Danio rerio: one gene and its partners. The main gene of each other region encodes a partner of the protein of the gene in region 3 in a complex. Links are inferred from orthologs where the notes say so. Each region holds a gene or a part of one and is shown on either strand. Other genes may lie near its edges.

The links.
Region 1: yeats2 (region 3) and dr1 share a complex: the UniProt entries of both Homo sapiens proteins name them as parts of the ADA2A-containing complex. The link is inferred for Danio rerio from reciprocal best matches to the Homo sapiens genes YEATS2 and DR1.
Region 2: yeats2 (region 3) and tada2a share a complex: the UniProt entries of both Homo sapiens proteins name them as parts of the ADA2A-containing complex. The link is inferred for Danio rerio from reciprocal best matches to the Homo sapiens genes YEATS2 and TADA2A.
Region 4: yeats2 (region 3) and wdr5 share a complex: the UniProt entries of both Homo sapiens proteins name them as parts of the ADA2A-containing complex. The link is inferred for Danio rerio from reciprocal best matches to the Homo sapiens genes YEATS2 and WDR5.
Region 5: yeats2 (region 3) and kat2a share a complex: the UniProt entries of both Homo sapiens proteins name them as parts of the ADA2A-containing complex. The link is inferred for Danio rerio from reciprocal best matches to the Homo sapiens genes YEATS2 and KAT2A.

What each region holds. Positions count from the first base shown.
Region 1 is NC_133181.1:26,454,396-26,458,359, reverse strand, and holds the start of dr1 (protein Dr1), read left to right. Parts: upstream 1-1,144; 5' UTR 1,145-1,649; coding exon 1,650-1,869; intron 1,870-3,964. UniProt on the Homo sapiens protein: The association of the DR1/DRAP1 heterodimer with TBP results in a functional repression of both activated and basal transcription of class II genes.
Region 2 is NC_133190.1:18,226,684-18,230,203, forward strand, and holds part of tada2a (transcriptional adapter 2-alpha), read left to right. Parts: coding exon 1-34; intron 35-2,570; coding exon 2,571-2,643; intron 2,644-3,307; coding exon 3,308-3,371; intron 3,372-3,520. UniProt on the Homo sapiens protein: Component of the ATAC complex, a complex with histone acetyltransferase activity on histones H3 and H4. Required for the function of some acidic activation domains, which activate transcription from a distant site. Binds double-stranded DNA.
Region 3 is NC_133177.1:47,776,048-47,779,567, reverse strand, and holds part of yeats2 (YEATS domain-containing protein 2), read right to left. Parts: intron 3,432-3,520; coding exon 3,319-3,431; intron 1,350-3,318; coding exon 1,188-1,349; intron 1-1,187. UniProt on the Homo sapiens protein: Chromatin reader component of the ATAC complex, a complex with histone acetyltransferase activity on histones H3 and H4. YEATS2 specifically recognizes and binds histone H3 crotonylated at 'Lys-27' (H3K27cr).
Region 4 is NC_133196.1:19,684,625-19,688,144, forward strand, and holds part of wdr5 (WD repeat-containing protein 5), read left to right. Parts: intron 1-3,033; coding exon 3,034-3,107; intron 3,108-3,357; coding exon 3,358-3,447; intron 3,448-3,520.
Region 5 is NC_133178.1:16,348,527-16,352,046, reverse strand, and holds part of kat2a (histone acetyltransferase KAT2A), read right to left. Parts: intron 689-3,520; coding exon 574-688; intron 482-573; coding exon 445-481; intron 1-444. UniProt on the Homo sapiens protein: Protein lysine acyltransferase that can act as a acetyltransferase, glutaryltransferase, succinyltransferase or malonyltransferase, depending on the context.

The DNA of each region.
Region 1 (3,964 bases), on a different chromosome or scaffold from region 3:
GTTTTGACACGTTCGAGCATGAACTCGGTTCGAATCCAGCGTCTGATGAACTCATTCTTCTTTTTTTTCCAGCATATCAGATTTTGCCTACTATTTATCACGAGAAAGACAAGTAGGAATCATTAATAAGTATGTGCATCATATTTTATTTGCACATTTATTGAATGGAAATGTTTCTGATTCATGCGTGCAAATTCATCTTCAGTTGGTGCCTTTATAGCAATGTGCGTGAAGTAGATCGCCCCCACTACAATGGGAAAACAGGCGACCGCTGCAAATTGCTCTTTAATGTTTGGCTGGTCAACTGTATGTTATGGAAATCTTATATACCTGCTAGATGAACCCGTCTCCTACAGCTGCCATTGCAAGGCTCAAAGACACTTTGTAGAGTGCAATTTAACACAACTGTCGAGTCGCCAATGGAAATAAAACAGACACGCACAAAAAATGTGCGTACGCCAGCCATAAAGCTGGCGTGGAGCCGCGCACATTCCCACGTTCAGTTCATCGTTAGTAAATCCAAACGTGAGCGATTCTGAGCGTGAAACCTGGCGTATGCAAAGTTTTTGTGCATACGCAGCGTTGATACATGAGGCCCCAGGACTGTATATTTCCCTCCCCTCAAAAACAGTTAAGTTTGGTATCTTTGAAAACAAAGAATTTTCATTTTGCTGTCATTGTTCTATTATGCTTGGGAAAAATCTTTATTCACAAATGCAGATGGTTCAAATCTACTCCTTTAATCAGTGAATGAGGTAAAACTTTTGTGCGAATCTGTAAAATTGTTGAATGATAAAAAAGCCCATAACCTCATCTATTTTTGGGATTTTTATAAGCTAATTTAATTTTCTAAGCTCCTTTATTATTTTATTGCAATTCATTTAACAAAAACTGGTCGTTTTATTCTTTCGATGTATATTGTGTTTGCCTATTTTATTACTCAACCTTGAGATGACAGTATGGAATATTGTAAATATGTTCCATTTTATTTGTATGTTCAGCTTGAAACAATAAAAAAAGTTTTTGCCAGTTTGTTTTTTTAGCAGAAAACATGCGCATAAATTGTAACATCATTTTTGTACAGTAGGCGGCAATGCCGAGCAACACCACGAAACAATAACAAGCAGAAGAATTACCGGATATCCGGGAGTGTTGCATTGTGGGGTTCGTTTCGTTGATCGCTAACCGAGCGGGTGAAGTAATGAATTAATAGATTCGGGTGCTTAAAACATTCCTCCCCGTGCTTTAGTCTAATAAGCGCGGGATCTGTTCAGTTACCCAGGCGGCTCGAGAATGAATGTTTGGAGTTGAATCATGATTATAAACGTGCACAGCAAAAGCAGCAGCACTGATGTGTGGATGTGGAGAGTCAGCGTAAACTGATCAAACCGAAAGGTACCGACTCTCATCCTCCTCCCTTCCTTGTGCCAAACACTCACAGTCTTTCCGACGTCTTCGGATTTTCAAATGTGTTCACGTGTGTGTATTCCCAGCCTTTCGTGATCTGCTCCGAGAAAACCGACCGCACCATCTGAGTCTCCACACAAAGCCGCCGCTGCTGTCGGTGTTTTATCATCAACAAAGCCGTTGAGCCTCCTCTCCTGGTTTGACTCCTTCAAACACAGAAGCGTCTCGGCTGCTCATCCCTCATGGCATCTTCTTCGGGGAACGACGATGATCTGACCATCCCGAGGGCGGCGATCAATAAAATGATCAAAGAAACGCTTCCCAATGTGCGGGTAGCGAACGATGCCAGAGAGCTGGTGGTAAACTGCTGCACAGAGTTCATTCACCTCGTCTCATCAGAGGCCAACGAGATCTGCAATAAATCAGAAAAGAAAACTATATCCCCGGAACATGTTATAAACGGTCAGTATGTCACTTCTGTTCAATGCTGTGAGATTCCAACAACAAATTGTTCGTTTCTGCACTTAATTCATTCAAAGCTTTTGTAATAAGGCGAATCGTTTATTCAGAGTTATAGTAACGTTACTTGTAGAGGTAAAGTTAGTTTTATATTCGCACATTCGTTCATTTAGCAGTCCCTATATTGTTTACCATCCTGCCTTGAATATTCAATCGGAATTAGCATGGAAATATGACTTCTAAACAACATTTACACTATCTGTGTGAACAGTGTTGTACTTTAATAGTCATTTGCTGCTAATATGATTTCCCTATTTAGAATTAGCAAAGAATACTTTTCTGAAATGTTATTATTAAGGAGAATGTCTAAATATATCCAAATATAAAACCAACTTTACCTCTATATACTACTTTTGATTCTGATTGTCTGATGAACATTCTAAGGTGTGCAATTATTTTCAGTTTTCAATTATTTAAACGGCTAAAGCAGTTCCAGACAGCATTATAGTTCAATATCATTATGCTGAATGGTTTCACAAGCTGCAAGTGTCACAAATCAAATAATGAGTTGGTATGCACAAGACTTTAGTAGTTTAACACACAAGAGCTGTTTAATGGAAAAAACCTCTCAAATGTCTTAAATTACGTCTTTCAGTCTGGAAACCATAGTACAAGTGGAATAATTTACTCTGGTTTATTCATTAAATTAGAAAATAATGCACATCTGCTTTGCATTGTGGCCGCATCACCACCTTGGTTGTGCATTATTTTTGAATAATTAAATACGCATGGGCTGGTGTAAGATTCTGACTATATGATAACCTTTGATAAAAATTGCACGGTTTCATGGTATTGTGATTACTGCTCTAAAATAATATATTCTTTTTAAATGTCGGGGTAAAACAAAACAAAAAAATCCCTTTTGAACACAATATATTTTATGTTATGAAACATTTAAAATATTCTGGAACAGTAAACTTCAGACTAAATAATTCAAATGAATCATTGACTTCTGCTGTCTTCACTTATTTCAAAAACACATTTTTTTTTTACAGTTAAAAACAGCATCTTTGGATATCTTTTATGCTGGACAAACTGTTGTCCAAAAAAAAGCAAGAAAAATGTAAATAAACAATCTTACACATCACCTTAGCAACAGTATTGCAAAAAAATTTGATGGTTTTAAAACCTTGACTTTTTCATACCGCGGTATACCTTGAAAATGGTTATCATTCTATGCCTAAATTCAATGGTCTATTGTAAATTATTCCTTGTTCAATTGGTCTGCAAGTGGTCTTGAGACGCTTGAAAATAAATGATGCGGTGGTTTATGTAGGACTGGGCAGTATGGCCATGTTAATATGCTAAAATTGTTTACATCAGAGTCAGTATCAATAATTATCAAAATAAAATGTCTATTTCTTTAGTTAAAGTGCAGATTATAGCCTCTGGGAGAAAGTTCCAAAAACCAGAATAGTAAATTGTAAAACTAAATTTTATTGTCAAAGATGACAAACATCCAACCTAATGAGCAAGACCCTTTAGCATGTGAACATACAAACAAACTCGAGCAGCTGTTTGTGCTAATGGATAAACAATCTATGTTGTGCAAAGGAACAATGCAGTTATGATATGCTAATGTATTCCACTATTATGTTAAACATTTATAACGTGTTGTTTTACAGAGGGAAAAATTATTACAATAAATATGGTTTTATCGCCAAGCCCTAGGTTTGTGGTGAGAAAACAATTCACCTTAAACAGGGGTCTCAAACTCGCGGCCCGCGTGCCATTTGCGGCCCTCAGTGCAATATTTTGTGGCCCGCGCCGACCGCTGATTCTATCCGTACACAGCGGTCACTGGCATTCCCCGCCTGCCGTGTAAACAAAGGGGCGGGGATGCTGGTGACGTCACCACGCACCCCGCCCCTTTGTTAGACGCTGTGACGGGCGGGAAGTGTTGATTTTTACTTCTGAGTCAAACACCGGCGTAGGCTACGTCGCTGACGCATAGCCCTTCGCCGTGGCCGTCGCCGTCACTGACGTGCACCTCTCAAAAATTGTAACTACACGTTGTAACGACGCGTAGCGCAAGCTC
Region 2 (3,520 bases), on a different chromosome or scaffold from region 3:
CGGATACATGCCAGCTCGAGCAGACTTCATGGAGGTAAGAGATCTGCAGCTACTAGACTTTAGTCAGGGTTACACCTTATTTCAATATTGACATGGATGAAAACAAATTTGTAGGGAATAGAAATGCATGCCTTCAGTGGAGTGTAAGTAAGATAAAGTACATCCAAGTGGTTCTTATCGCATCAGCGAAGCAAATCTGTGGAGTGTTGTTCTGTGGAGAAAAAAAAACAACCGACTGGATGTACTTTATGCCACTTATTACACAGGTACTTGTCACTAAACGTAAAAATGTGACTCAAAGCTTGTATGTTGTATTCAGCCGTAAAAGTTTATTAAGTGTTTAATTAAATGCAAAACAAGAAATGAAAATGGCTGAATGGAGCAAACAATAACCAGGGTGTCTGCAGGTTCTTAAGTCTTAAAATGTCTTGCATTTCAACAACTAAATTTTAGGCTTTAAAAATGATTAAATTTGCTAAAATGTTGTCTTGTAGGTCTTAAATAGTTTTTTTTTACAGGTCTTAATTTTCATATGTCCAAATCAGGGGTACGTTTTCGAAAGCCAACTAAGGTCGCAAGTTCCGTCGTTACAACCATAGTTCATTTATTTAGCATTTTTCAAATCCGTCTTTCCAAAGAACATTCACAAACTGCATCGCAAACTTCAATGTTTGCAACTACACCTTTGGAGCTGTAGTTAGAAACATAGTTCCTGGCTGTGTTCTATTCCCAGTTATTGTAGTTATATGCCCAGTTATATGCCCTATACATTCTAACATTTAAACTTGAAATGATTTTTAAAAAATTAAGTCATCACTCTTAAGTGTAATTTGCTGTCAAAGTATTTTTACAGATCAGTTTTAGCAGTCTTGCGTTGCCGCTTTAGTGCACTTTAAAAGCATTCATGTCATTTTGAACACAGCCGTGGCTCATGATGAAAGCTACAGGTGACCTATTATTTAAAAGCTAATGGTTTTAATATCTAGTATGTATTTATTAAGTATCTGTACTGTATATGACGTGGGCCTGTTAGTTAGAACATTTGTGCAGTGGTTTGCATGTGTCAAATTGTAAAAGTAGACTTTTCAAAAAAATAAATAAATAAACAATATTCTACTTAATAATAATAATCAGTGATATTATTGATATTATTATTAAAGTAAGATTTTTTTCATTTCCTAATAAATAATAAATATAACATTTTATTTCTTAATAAATAGACTGTCTATTTATTTAGTTGTATGATTAATATATGATACTAGAATACGTGGTTGCTTTTGTAAGTGATTTTATGTTTTAGAATAGAATATGTAATGTTCTCAATAATATTTGTAAAGAAAACAGGCCCTATATATGCCGTTTACATACAGTATATTACAATTAATCTGGAAAGCAATTGCATGTTTTTACTAAAACTAAAATTGGATTTTTTTTAAATGTGTGTCCCTGTGAAACAATATAATTTGCACAAAGAAATTATGGGGTTCCTCTCTAAATAAGCTGTTACCACCTGATTTAGAGTACCATTATAGGCGGTTTACATGATATCTAACATGGTTCAAATTATGGATCGACAGAGAAACTACGGTTTTGGGGAAACACTCATCACTACATCTTTCTTTTTTCCAAACGATGCATCGTACTATGATAGTTAATCCCGGAGTTACGTCGTTGTTTGAGAAAAGCACCACAGGCCGACACCGACACAGTCCATCTCAATAAAACTTTACTCTATTTATAACTCTGTTTACCAATATGGATTAGTTGTCTTCCCTACAATTACATTGGTTAAAAAGTTCTCTATGTATTTATAGACCATATATGTTGGGGACACTGACCTGGACCGACTGTTATACTTTTAGTTTTTTTTAAAGTTTATACAGCTTGTCAATCTTCTTTAACAACAACAACAACAAAATAAGTGTGTAAGTACACAACTAGGTTTTGCTTTGTTTTGACACATTTAAAATATGTGGCTAACATAACTTATTTGAATTTATTATATAAAACTCTTTTTGTGCTTGCCCAAATGGGCCATTGGAAATAGTCCTTAGCATTTAGCCTTGTTTTAGTCGAAAATTGTATCTATAGTGGTGTTAAAAAGTCTTAGGTACGTTCACACCGACACGGATGAATCGTCAAGTGCGAGTGATCTATGTGTTAAGTCAATGCAAAGATGACCCTGCAGATGCTATTTTAGCCTTGCTCCATACGATCAGCAAGCACATTCAGCACCCTGGTGCTTTGCCAGAATTTTATTGATTTTAGTTCAGCTTTTAATACTAATTAATCAGAATCTTGACTATTTAGAATAAAGTATTCCAGAGCCATGTGATATTGTTGTTTAACGGTTGTTTAAAATCAATACATGAAATGTCTTCTTTAAAAAAAAAGAAACAATAGCAAAAACACCCTTAAACCTTTGTATGAATGTTTTGATATTTATACAGCCTGATACAGGCTTGTTTCCATAAATTCAATATGCCGTCTAATGACTGTCTGTTTAGAACTTATGTAATTCATACATTTTTTAAAGCAACCTCTCTTTCTCTTTTTGTCTCTGAAATTAGGAGTTTGATAATTACGCTGAATGGGATTTAAAAGATATTGACTTTGTCGATGATGATTCTGATATCCTTCATGGTAAGTGCAACAGTAGAGAAAATGAGTACATTTGTTCTCTCATTTTACTGAAATCAAATGTTATTTTTACAATGTAGCATTATCATAACCTGTTTGCCATTGAAAAATCATAGTTGTTATTGCTGGCTTAATGAGATCAAACATCATTATGGTCTTTTTTTACTTTTATTTCTATTATAAAACATCCTGAATTTAGTTTTCTATATCCATTTTGATGCTATTATACAAATTTTTATTGTAATGTTTGATTTTAATTGAATTTTAGATTATTTTATTATTTTTTATTATGGTTTATTATTTTTAAGTTGAACCACTTAAGTTTAATTAAATTGTATTTCAGCTATAGTATTATTATAAGTTAAATTTTCATACTTTAGCTAGATACAAATACTTAGCAAATCATCATATTTAATTTAATTTAAAATTAACATTTTATTATTTATAATGTTTTTCATATATACTATTATACATTATTTTAAAATATATATATATATATATATATATATATATATATATATATATATATATATATATATATATATATATATATATATATATATATATATATATATATATATTAGATTATATTTGTGAAAACAAACTGAATGCTAAATTCTTGGTAACTACTTTTTACCATGTTTGTGGTATTATTGTGTTATTGCAGCACTGAAGGTTGCTGTAGTGGATATTTATCACTCCAGACTAAAGGAAAGACAGAGGAGAAAAAAGTAAGTAGAAAAAAATACTTGTACTGCATAACATCAACCTCTAGAGGGCCACCCTTCCCTATTAAATTAGATTTCAAATTAGAGCGTTATTTCTAAGGGCCCCTTTCTCAATTAACAAATTATATATCTGAACAAAAATATGTAACACT
Region 3 (3,520 bases):
GCTCGCGATTTCGGGGGGTGTGGCTTTGAATCCCAGTCCCTCCCTGCTGTCCAAAGATAATATGCTAAGTGGTTAGCATTTTGGCAGATCACCTACTGCACCTTTAAACAGAACCTGAAGCAGCACTTGATAATTACAGACGGGTGTGTTTGGTCAGAGTTGCAACTGAAATTTGTAGGAAAGTATTGCCCTTTCTCAATATGCATTCTTCAGCGATCTTGCGCCCTCGTGTTCTCGGGTAACAGCATCATCAACAGCCAAAGTTCAGTTCCAAAACTCAAGACTGCAAGAGCAGAGGACATGTGAAAGTTCCTGGATGTGTTCTTGATAGAGGACACCTCGATGCAGACTTGAGCACAAAACTCGCTTGAGAAGTCCCAGAAGGCATTTCGACTGAATAAAGAAGGTGGGGAGTGCAGCATCTGATATAGATTTAATATTAAAGTTCGGAGATGTGACTAATTTATCTCAGGAGTTACCCTAAATGAGACGGTGAAAGTAAACATTTCCATGAAAATCTTTATAAAGGCATGAACAGATTAAGGGTGTTTATTTGCTGAAATTCATATTAAAATTTGTTTTATTTGTATTGTGCAACATACATTTATAATGTCTTTATGCATAGTACATATAGTGAAAGAAGGAAAAACAATAAAGCGTTGTATGAATGCTGAGATTTTTAAATAATGTTCTATTAAAAACGCGTGAAGATCATGTGACCATCAGGAAGAAAGCAGCATCTCATTTCTCACAGGACGCATTCTCTGTTCTCTAAGTTCATTTTTACGAGGTAACTCCACAAGAACTCCACAAGTACGCTAGTACGTTATCTCTGCGTTCTTGGAATTGAGAAACAGCCTAGCTCTCCAGGACCAGTGTTGGTAGGCCCTGGTCTAGAAAGGTTGTTGAAATTCCAGAGGTAGTAAAACATTTTATCGAGTTGCTTTCATAATAAAAATGCTCATGTGGTTAAAAAAAATTCAATGATTCAGTGATGTAATTTAGCTGACCCCATAATATGTTAATATCACATATAAACAAAGCTTCAGTGTTGTTAGGTGCAATTTGAATTAATGAAGTTCAAACTATTACTACAAATTATCCAAAGATGGTCATGTTGAAAAAAGCCTGAACAGTGAGATGAAATCAAAGCAGATGGATGAATCGGGTGGAATGTAAACACACACCTGACTTCCACGAGGTCATTGGGCTTGTAGCTGGGGTGCAGGAAAAACCAGACCTTCTTCACAAAGTGATCAATACTGGGCTCCTTACGAGAACCTCGAACGTACACCATCCACTTATGAGTGGACTGATCATTCTCCTCACGTTTATCAGGGGCAATATACCTGGAACAGAGAAAAAAAAAGTCTCAAAAACGGGTCTCTTGCTGCGTCCTAATTCGCATACTTATACTACACCCGAAAGTATGTACTTTTTTGAGAGGGAAAAATATATACTTTTGAGTGTGTGACAGAAGAGTGTGCTTTGGGACATACTACTTTTTCGTTAACAGATCGTTATGTTGCTTAATTATGAGCCCTGTCAAACATCCATGTCATCCTATCTCTTATTGGAGAAGCAGCGGCAGGTTAGGTCTTTCATGCAGAGAAATCTCCTCCGGTCTTTGGATAATTATGCATTCAGATGGTAATCTCCAAACATATCTTTATATAAGCGCAGTATTGTTGTTGCAGATGAAATATAACACAGAAAACACCATTTAAATATTTTCCAGTGGGCTAGATATTAATTAACAGTCATTCAAACAACTTTAACAAAGCTTTTTACTTGACGGTTGGTCTCGCAAGTCCACCATGTATGTAGTTTATTTACACTTTTCATCCATGTTAGTAGTTCTCATCGAAATCATGTCCAATGCACCAATACTGTGGACAATATCAGCAATTAGAGTATGGACGGTTCTGCACTTAAAATTTTTACCGGAAATAGTAAACCATCCGGGAACCTTTGGCATACTTTTTTCAACATACTACGATTTGGGACATACTAATTGTATTTTCAAATACTATTTAGGAAGGATAGTATGCGAATTGGGACGCAGCATCTGTTTTTTAGAAACAGAAAGAAAACAAATTGCATGAACTACCCATTAACTGTCATAAAAGCCAACTCTTCAGTAACATATTTAAATACTGAAACTGCAAAATTCAAAAGGCAACTGCATGGTAGCATTTTTGCCTTCAGCACAGATAAAAGTTAAGCTTATTTGCACATTTCTTTTCAACTCAGTGCGTGTCGTATATTTTCAGCTACCTGCCACAGTAATGTGATTTGTGCTCTTCATTTTAGGTTTCTAGGGAAAGGAAATCATCTGCTTCACACATAATGGTACAATGTGGAATTGTTTAGAAACGCTTTATTCAGACAAACAGCTTGAGTTCATGTTTTTTTTCAGCACAATGGCCCAGGAGTAAACAGTGTCATAAAGATCTTTAGTAGCTCTGCATGGAAAAAAGTCAGCTTATAGCATTGCTCATACAAAGACACACACACACACTTGTGTCTCACTCACATGCCTTGAGTGAATTTTATGAGGTAAAGTAGACGTGGACTGTGTGATAATGCAGAATAAATGAGGTTAGATTGCTGCCTAGGGGAAACTAAAGCTTTGCTTTTCACCATGTGAAGGTTTATTGGGTTTCAGAGAAATAATAATGAGACTTTCCAGAGAAAGTGATACATTTAAAAATGAATACAAGCTCGGAGAAATAAATATTTCTCCTCATAAAAGCCTGTGGAAATAACAAATGGTTGGAAATATAATGGTTTAAGATTAATTCAAAAATGAATATTCTGTTATTATTTACTAACCAATAAGTCACCTTAACACTTCTTTCTTAATGTTCTCAATCACACTTTTCCACTTCAGGTGTGCTAGGCCCAAAGTAAGAAATTCTTTTTGAATTTAAGTCGTCTGATGCCATACATTTTTATAGACTACAATTAAAGAGCATGGCATATGTGATCAAGTCAATCCAGACCTCTCTTTTTCATATTCCAAAGTCATAGTGTCTAGGGTACCATGAAAATATCTTAATGATCTAATGTTCATTTTTGGCTAAACCATCCCTTTAAGGATTGCAGAACCAAGTATAAAGCTTCCTCAAGTAAAGCTTTACTCAAGGCCACACCAGTATTATTCAGAAAGGAAGACCAAAAACATTAAAAACCTTTTAACTGCAACTCTTTTCCACCACAAACAATTGATGAAATTGTTGTCAGTTTTATAGTAATAGTAAAAATAGAATTAGCAATAAAATACTCTATACTATATAATAGGTAAAGATCTCATACTTGGATACGTTTCCGACAACAATGGTTTTCTTCATGTAGAGTCGAGAAGCATCATCTCCTGTAGTGTGATAAGTAACATGCTGCTCTATAGATGATGGCACACCAAATGTGTCCTATAAATGAGAAAATAATAATAAATGTCACTATCAAATCAAGTATGCATTGAGCATTTCAGCTGTAAAATCTGTATATGTGAACATAG
Region 4 (3,520 bases), on a different chromosome or scaffold from region 3:
TGTATTACGGTAACAGGGAAGATGACGAGGTCACTCTCTACATTGAAACCGATGTCATAGAAAAATGTAATTGATGTTCTTGGCTTGGTGAAAGATGAACAAACAATCCTACCCAAAACATGCTAAATTTGCCAGATCAGTAGTACTTTGCATCCCGGCTTTGCATTCCAATTTCTAAGTGTCTTACAGCCTACGTTTGTTATGAATAAATTAGGTTAAAACGCATATAAAAGACACATTCATGAAAAAAGCCAAAAGAGCTTTGTGCATGTGCACGTGAATAATGTAGGGCTATAAACAAGTTTGAGCTTTTAAAAAGCTGTCAATCAAAATGTACCTCTTAGGCTCGGGTCGAATTCAGTCAGGCTCAGGCTCTATCGGGCCTAACTTTTATGGCCCGATTACAGCTCTATCACTCCTGTCAGCCAAGAACTAGAAAACTTAGGCAACAATTGGCACAAGCTCACCAAAATTTGATAATAGAAGATTAGAAAATCGTTGCCTGCTCTGACAAATCTCTATTTCTGCTGCAACATGCAGGCCCCGTTTACACTAATGCGTTTTAGTTTGAAAACGCAAAAGTTTTGCTACGGTTACGCCATCCCTCCACACTACGCCAGAGTTCTCGAGCGCCGAAAACGGAGCTTTTTGAAAAAGCTGGAAAGGCCGTTTTCATTCTAAAACGCTGCTGCTCCGTCTCAGTGTGGATGGGTAAAGACGGAGACATCTGAAAACGGAGGCGGGGCTGCAAACGTTCGCCTATCTGATTGGGGCTTTTCCTCAATATTAAGTAGCCCACGCACAGTTCAGTCTCGCATCCTCTTCTTGTAAGTTAAGACTTCGCAAGTTTGATCAAGGCTGCAGTCTCCCCCTTTTCAGTTTGATATGGAAAACATACCGAGGACACGGGTAAATCTTCAAAGGGAACAGTGTACTTTATAACTTTATTCACATCACCTTGGCTACGTTGTTTCACTTTCTCAACAATAAAATGTAATCATTATTTAAGGAACTGCCTATTTTCTTTTTAATATTAGCAACTTAACTGACAGCAGAAATGTTGAGGCGCCGTGCTGCATATATGGGCGTCATCTTCACTGTGTGGATATTTATAACAAAACGGAGCCTATAACAACTGCCTCCTTTCAATTTCAGTGAAAATACGAAACGCACCCTCTCTTTTGCTGAATATCAGTTTTAATAATTGATAATTATAAAAGTATAACATACAATAAGTTTATACATTGTAGGAAATAAAGGCAAGCGATCAGTCAATGTACCTGGATTAATCATTAACTTATCTTTGCGCTTAACCAAAACATGTTACCCGTGAACAAGTAACTTAATAGATTCCAATGACCAAAGTCAGGGAATTGGCCTATGTCGTTAGATAAAGACAACAACATGAATGAAATATCACGTTTAGCAAATATAGTGGGATTAGATCCAGCGGGAGATGCTTGATGAGCAGTCCGACAAGCAGAGCTCTCATCTGGGTAGAAATGCTGGAGCGCTTGCCCGAGAGTGTCTGTGTGATCACGTGATGTGCGTTTTCAACGTTTTGGTGTGGACGGAGAGCTGTTCAGAAACGCTGGGTAAAACGCGAGTGTGGACGCGGATCGTTTTCATTCTACAACGCCGTTTTAAAACTAAAACGCACTAGTGTAAACGGGGCCTCAGATGGTAGGGTCAGAATTTGGCGTAAACAACACAAAAGCATGGATCCATCCTGTCTTGTATCAATGGATCAGGCTGGTGGTGGTAGTGTATCGATTTGAGGGATTTTTTTCTTTGCACACTTTGGGTCCATTAGTATCCAATTGAGTATTGTGTCTGCCACATCCTACCTGAGTACTGTTACTGACCATGTCCATCCATTTATGACCACAGTGTACCCATCTTCTGGTGGCTACTTCCATCAGGATAACGCGCCATGTCATAAAGCCAAAAAATATCTAAAACCGATTTCTTGAACATGACAATGAGTTCACTGCACTTAAATGGCCTCCACAGTCACCAGAACTTAATCCAATGAAGCACTTTTGGGATGTGGTGGAACGGGAGATTCGCATCATGGATATGCAGCAAACAAATCTGCAGCAACTGCACGATGCCATCATGTCATTATGGACTGAAATCTCAGAGGGATATTTCCATTACCTTGTTGAATCTATGCCGTGAAGGATTAAGGCTGTTCTACAGGCAAAAGGGGGGTCCAACCCGGTACTAGTAAGGTGTACCTAATAAAGTGGCCAGTTAGTGTAAGTACACGCATACGTTTTTATTGATTACATATAATGCAATCTTTTTTTTTTTTTTTTTTCAACTGATTTTTTTTTAAATCACAGTATTGGGCTTCAAAACAGAAAATGAAAAGTGTCACATTTTTATACATCTGTTATTTAAGACTTTTAAGTCTAAAAAGTCAAATAAAACATTGTTTTCAAAGTCAAATTGTCCTTTCATCAGTCTGTGAGATTTCCAGTATACAATATTATTGTATACTGGGTTTAGTTAACTTAATGCTAGTTGCTTTTTATTTTTTTATTTATGTACATTTTACCTGCGTATTTTACTTGCTTCTATGTGAATTAATGTCTGTCGTTTTGCAATTGTTATTAAACATACTCATTGCAATATTTCAGTTCTAAACTATGAAGATTTGCACCACTCCCATTAATTCACTGCAGAAACTGAAAGTTTAAATGGATGGTGCCTTCATGCCTCTGTTGCTGCATTGTCGATGCATATTCGACCGTGAGAGCTGAATGCACTTATGAGTCATTCACCCTGATATCATCTCAGACTATAAGCACACAGCTTTTCAGAGAATACACAGAATGTTACAGCATTGCAATCTTTTTCAGTGGGATAATCAGACCAAGTCATTTTAAAATTTTATTTTTATTTTGATTGCAGCTTTAAACGTTTATTTAATTAATTATTACACTTGAACTACCCTCAAGGAAGTCCTAGTGTCTTGTGAACAACACAAAGTCATGATGTAATTTTTTTTTTCTCTCTCTCGTCCAGCTGCTGATAAGCTGATCAAAATATGGGGTGCATATGATGGCAAGTTTGAGAAGACGATATCTGGACACAAACTTGTGAGTTCCTTGTATGTTTTGTTGGTATTTCTGTCATCATTGTTTCACTTCTATAGTGTTATCTTCATTTGCTTTTAGTTGTTAGCCTTATTTTATTTTCAGTTGAACTTTGTCTGTACAGCACTTTGGATTCAGTTATAGTGTTGAAAGTGTTCTATAAATAAAGTTGAGTTCCCCAAAAGATCTGGCTTCTCTGTAATGTTTTACTGTACCAGATTGCTGTTGTGAACTGGATTTCTTTCTCCTGCAGGGCATCTCAGATGTAGCCTGGTCTTCAGACTCCAACCTCCTGGTCTCAGCTTCTGATGACAAGACTTTGAAGATCTGGGATGTGAGCTCTGTAAGTTAAGGCAAAACTGAACATTCGAAAGAAAAATGTAAAACCTAAACTGATGAAAGCAAGCAGAGTGAGC
Region 5 (3,520 bases), on a different chromosome or scaffold from region 3:
ATCTCTGGCTGATATATTCAATTGAGTCAAGTGTTGCCGAAACGCGTAGGTGCTGTTTTTAAGGAATAGCCATGTTAATAAGGGCTTTTTCATTTTTTCGCTTGCTTTTCAGTGCCTTGGACTTATTATTTTGTTGTTTATCTTTAATAATTCCTTATCCAAAGAGCACAGACACATTAACTACCCCTGAAGCACTTCTTTTGATTTTGGATTTATAAATACATCTGTGACATTATAAATGACTTTACTGCCACTTTTGATTTATTTACTGAATTCTTTGTTAAATAAAAGTATTTATTTATTTTACAAACACCCTTTTAAAGTGATAGAGAGTACATGGCACCACTGTGAAATCATCAGTACGCCGCAGATACTCCATGATCTAATAGAGGCACACAGATGGTCTAAGATTTCAGAATAAATAAGCATAAATTCTCATCTGACCTTTTCTCCTTGGCACTAGGTTTCCAACCAGTCTCTCCTAAAAAATAAATAAATATAAAAACAGAAAGAAGAAAGCACGTTTGAATGAAAGGATTTTGGACATTATAGTCATATTTTTTAGACACTTACTGATGCCTGGTATACTCTCCACAGGAATCTGACGCACACCCTCTTTAAAGCAGGTGAGACCAGGATACACTTTCCTGATCTGATTCTGTTTCCTCTCGATCAGTTTCTTAATGATCTGCAGCAGACAACAATAAACCAATAGCACTAATTTAATTTAATAAAAACTTTCTTTTATGCTCTTCATGGCCATTTAGAAAAATTCACAGCTAAAATCCCACTTGAGAATAACATATACCCCAATATTCAATATGACAGTTTTGTATGCCACAATACTTGATATAATATTGAGTCATTCGTTTCAACCACCACAGTTCAGTATGCGTTAGAGACTGCGGTATTGCATCCAAATTTAAATATTTAATTTAGCATTTTCCCCAATTCCTTTAATTACTCTGAACTGGCTCTGTCTAACCTCCCTCTCTATTCTATTCTGCCGTCCTAAAGGGGAGGGGGCTCGGGTGTCGCAGATGAAAGTAAAAAAAAGGGGGGGGGGGGAGATTGGGGGGGGGGGGTCTTCGTGGATAATAATTAGGGAAATGAGGATATTTTGCCGCCCTAGTTTCACGTTATTTCGGATGTAAAATTTGTGTGAATTTTTGGCGTACGCAATGTTTTAGTATGAATTCAACACAAGTCTTCGTACATGAGGCCCCTGGTCTTTATAGCAAATAAACAAATGTAAATATTATCTTGCTTGCTTTTTAATCATTATTGAGCGAGTTCTTGAACGCCTATGATTGATCGTGCATTCAACAGAAAAGGCTGCAATTGGCTCTAACAGTTCAGCAAACAGTGACACGGACACTGATGTTAAATGACCGCAGTGATCAGCCGATTCATTATAGATGGCAACGCGGTGGAGAAAACTCACTATGCAGACACGCTTGTGTCTGGATCCACAAGTAATGTTATTGTTGTAACAGCTGAGAGAGGAGATAAAACGTTACCTCACGACCACATCAGCAGGTCACCTCCCACGCCAAAGTAAGCTACCGCCATATAACACATGAAATAAATGACATCAGTACATTACTGAACCGATACCGAATTGTTCGTGTCTGCACTGCGGTGCACCAAAGAAACGATTAATTTTGACACTCCTAATATACATACAGTTGAAGTGAGAATTATTAACCGCCCTGAATTATTAGCTCCCCCCGGTTTATTTTTTCCCCAATTTCTGTTTAACGCAGAGAAGATCTTTTTTAACACATTTCTAAACATAATAGTTTTAATAACTCATTTCTAATAACTGATTTATTTTGTCTTTGCCATGATGACAGAAAATAAAATTTGACTAGATATTTTTAAAAGACACTTCTATACAACTTAAGGTGACATTTAAAGGCTTAACTAGGTTAATTAGGTTAGGCAGGTTAGGGTAATTAGGCAAGTTATTGTATAGTGATGGTTTGTTCTGCAGACTATCAGAAAAAAACTAGCTTAAAGTGGTTTAAAATTTTGACCCTAAAATGGTTTATAAAAAAATAAACACTGCTTTTATTCTAGCCAAAATAAAACAAATAAGAATTTCTTCAGAAAATATTATCAGACAACTATGAAAATTTCCTAGCTCTGATAACAATCATTTGGAAAATATTTAAAAAAGAAAAGAAAAAAAATCAAAAAGGGGGGGGGGGCTAATAATTCTGACTGATAGCATAATTGATAGCATAATTGTAGTTTGTGTTACTGAGTTATTAAATCATTTTTTAAAATTATTTTACAGTTAGTTTATGATCTAATATGCAAATATTCATAGGACTTTATAATACAGTTTATAAAGTGATAAAGTGATTTAGTTCTGAATGTTGATAAAACTAAGGAGTTGGTGATCGACTTCAGGAAGAAACGCCCCATTTATTCCCCTGTATATATTAATAACACTGCAGTGGAGACTGTACAGCAGATAAAATTTCTGGGGGTCCATGTTACTGAGAACCTGACTTGGTCTCTCCATACCACTTGTCTTGCGAAGAAAGCGCACCAGCGACTGCTTTTTCTGAGAAGGTTGAAAAGAGCACACCTCAGCCAATCAATTCTCACAACTTTTTACAGAGGAGCTGTTGAGAGTGTTCTTACTAATGGCATCTCCCTTTGGTATGAGAATAGCAGTGTGTCTGATAAGAACACCATTAAGAGGATCATAAAGTCAGCTGAAAGGTCTGTTGGAGTCAAAATGACATCTATCGAGGAACTTTACCAACGCCGTTGTCTGTCTAGGGCAAATAACATTTTAGGGGATCCAACCCACCCTGGTCATAGCCTGCTCTCACTCATGCCATCAGGCAGGCGTTACAGAAGTCTGAGGAGCAAATCAGTGCGGTTTCAAGATAGTTTTTATCCTGTCATTATAAGACTTTTAAATAATACCATTTCTTAAGTATTGTTAATAGCTAGTGTTAAAAATAAATAAATTTGTTAAACTAGCATAAATTGTTAATATTACAACAAATGGTGAAATAGGTATTTAAGTATTAAGTTATTCTCTTCAGAGATTTTTTAAAAATGGGTTATATCTTATCTATATTTTTTATATTTCTATGGAATTATAAAAGCTTATTTATCATGTTAGGATTTTATAGTGTTTTTATATTGATGTTTTTTTATGTTCTTGATGGGTCTGTTGCAACGTAATTTCGTTCTGCATTACAATTCTATTGTGATGATTTGAATGACATAAATAAAGGAAACTGAAACTGGATATTTCCTGACATTTAATAGATATATTACATGAGGGATTGCATATTTTACCAAACAAATGGATTTAATTGGATTACAATTATAAACCTTGAATTAAAGTTTAAAAGTCATTAATTTATTTATCATGTTTTTAGTTACTTTACTCCCAAAATCATAAATCCACAGAAACAACAAAAAATGTCTGCAGATTCTGTCTGGCCCAGGCTATTAGTAACACATTTAATTACTGTATTACAACAACAAC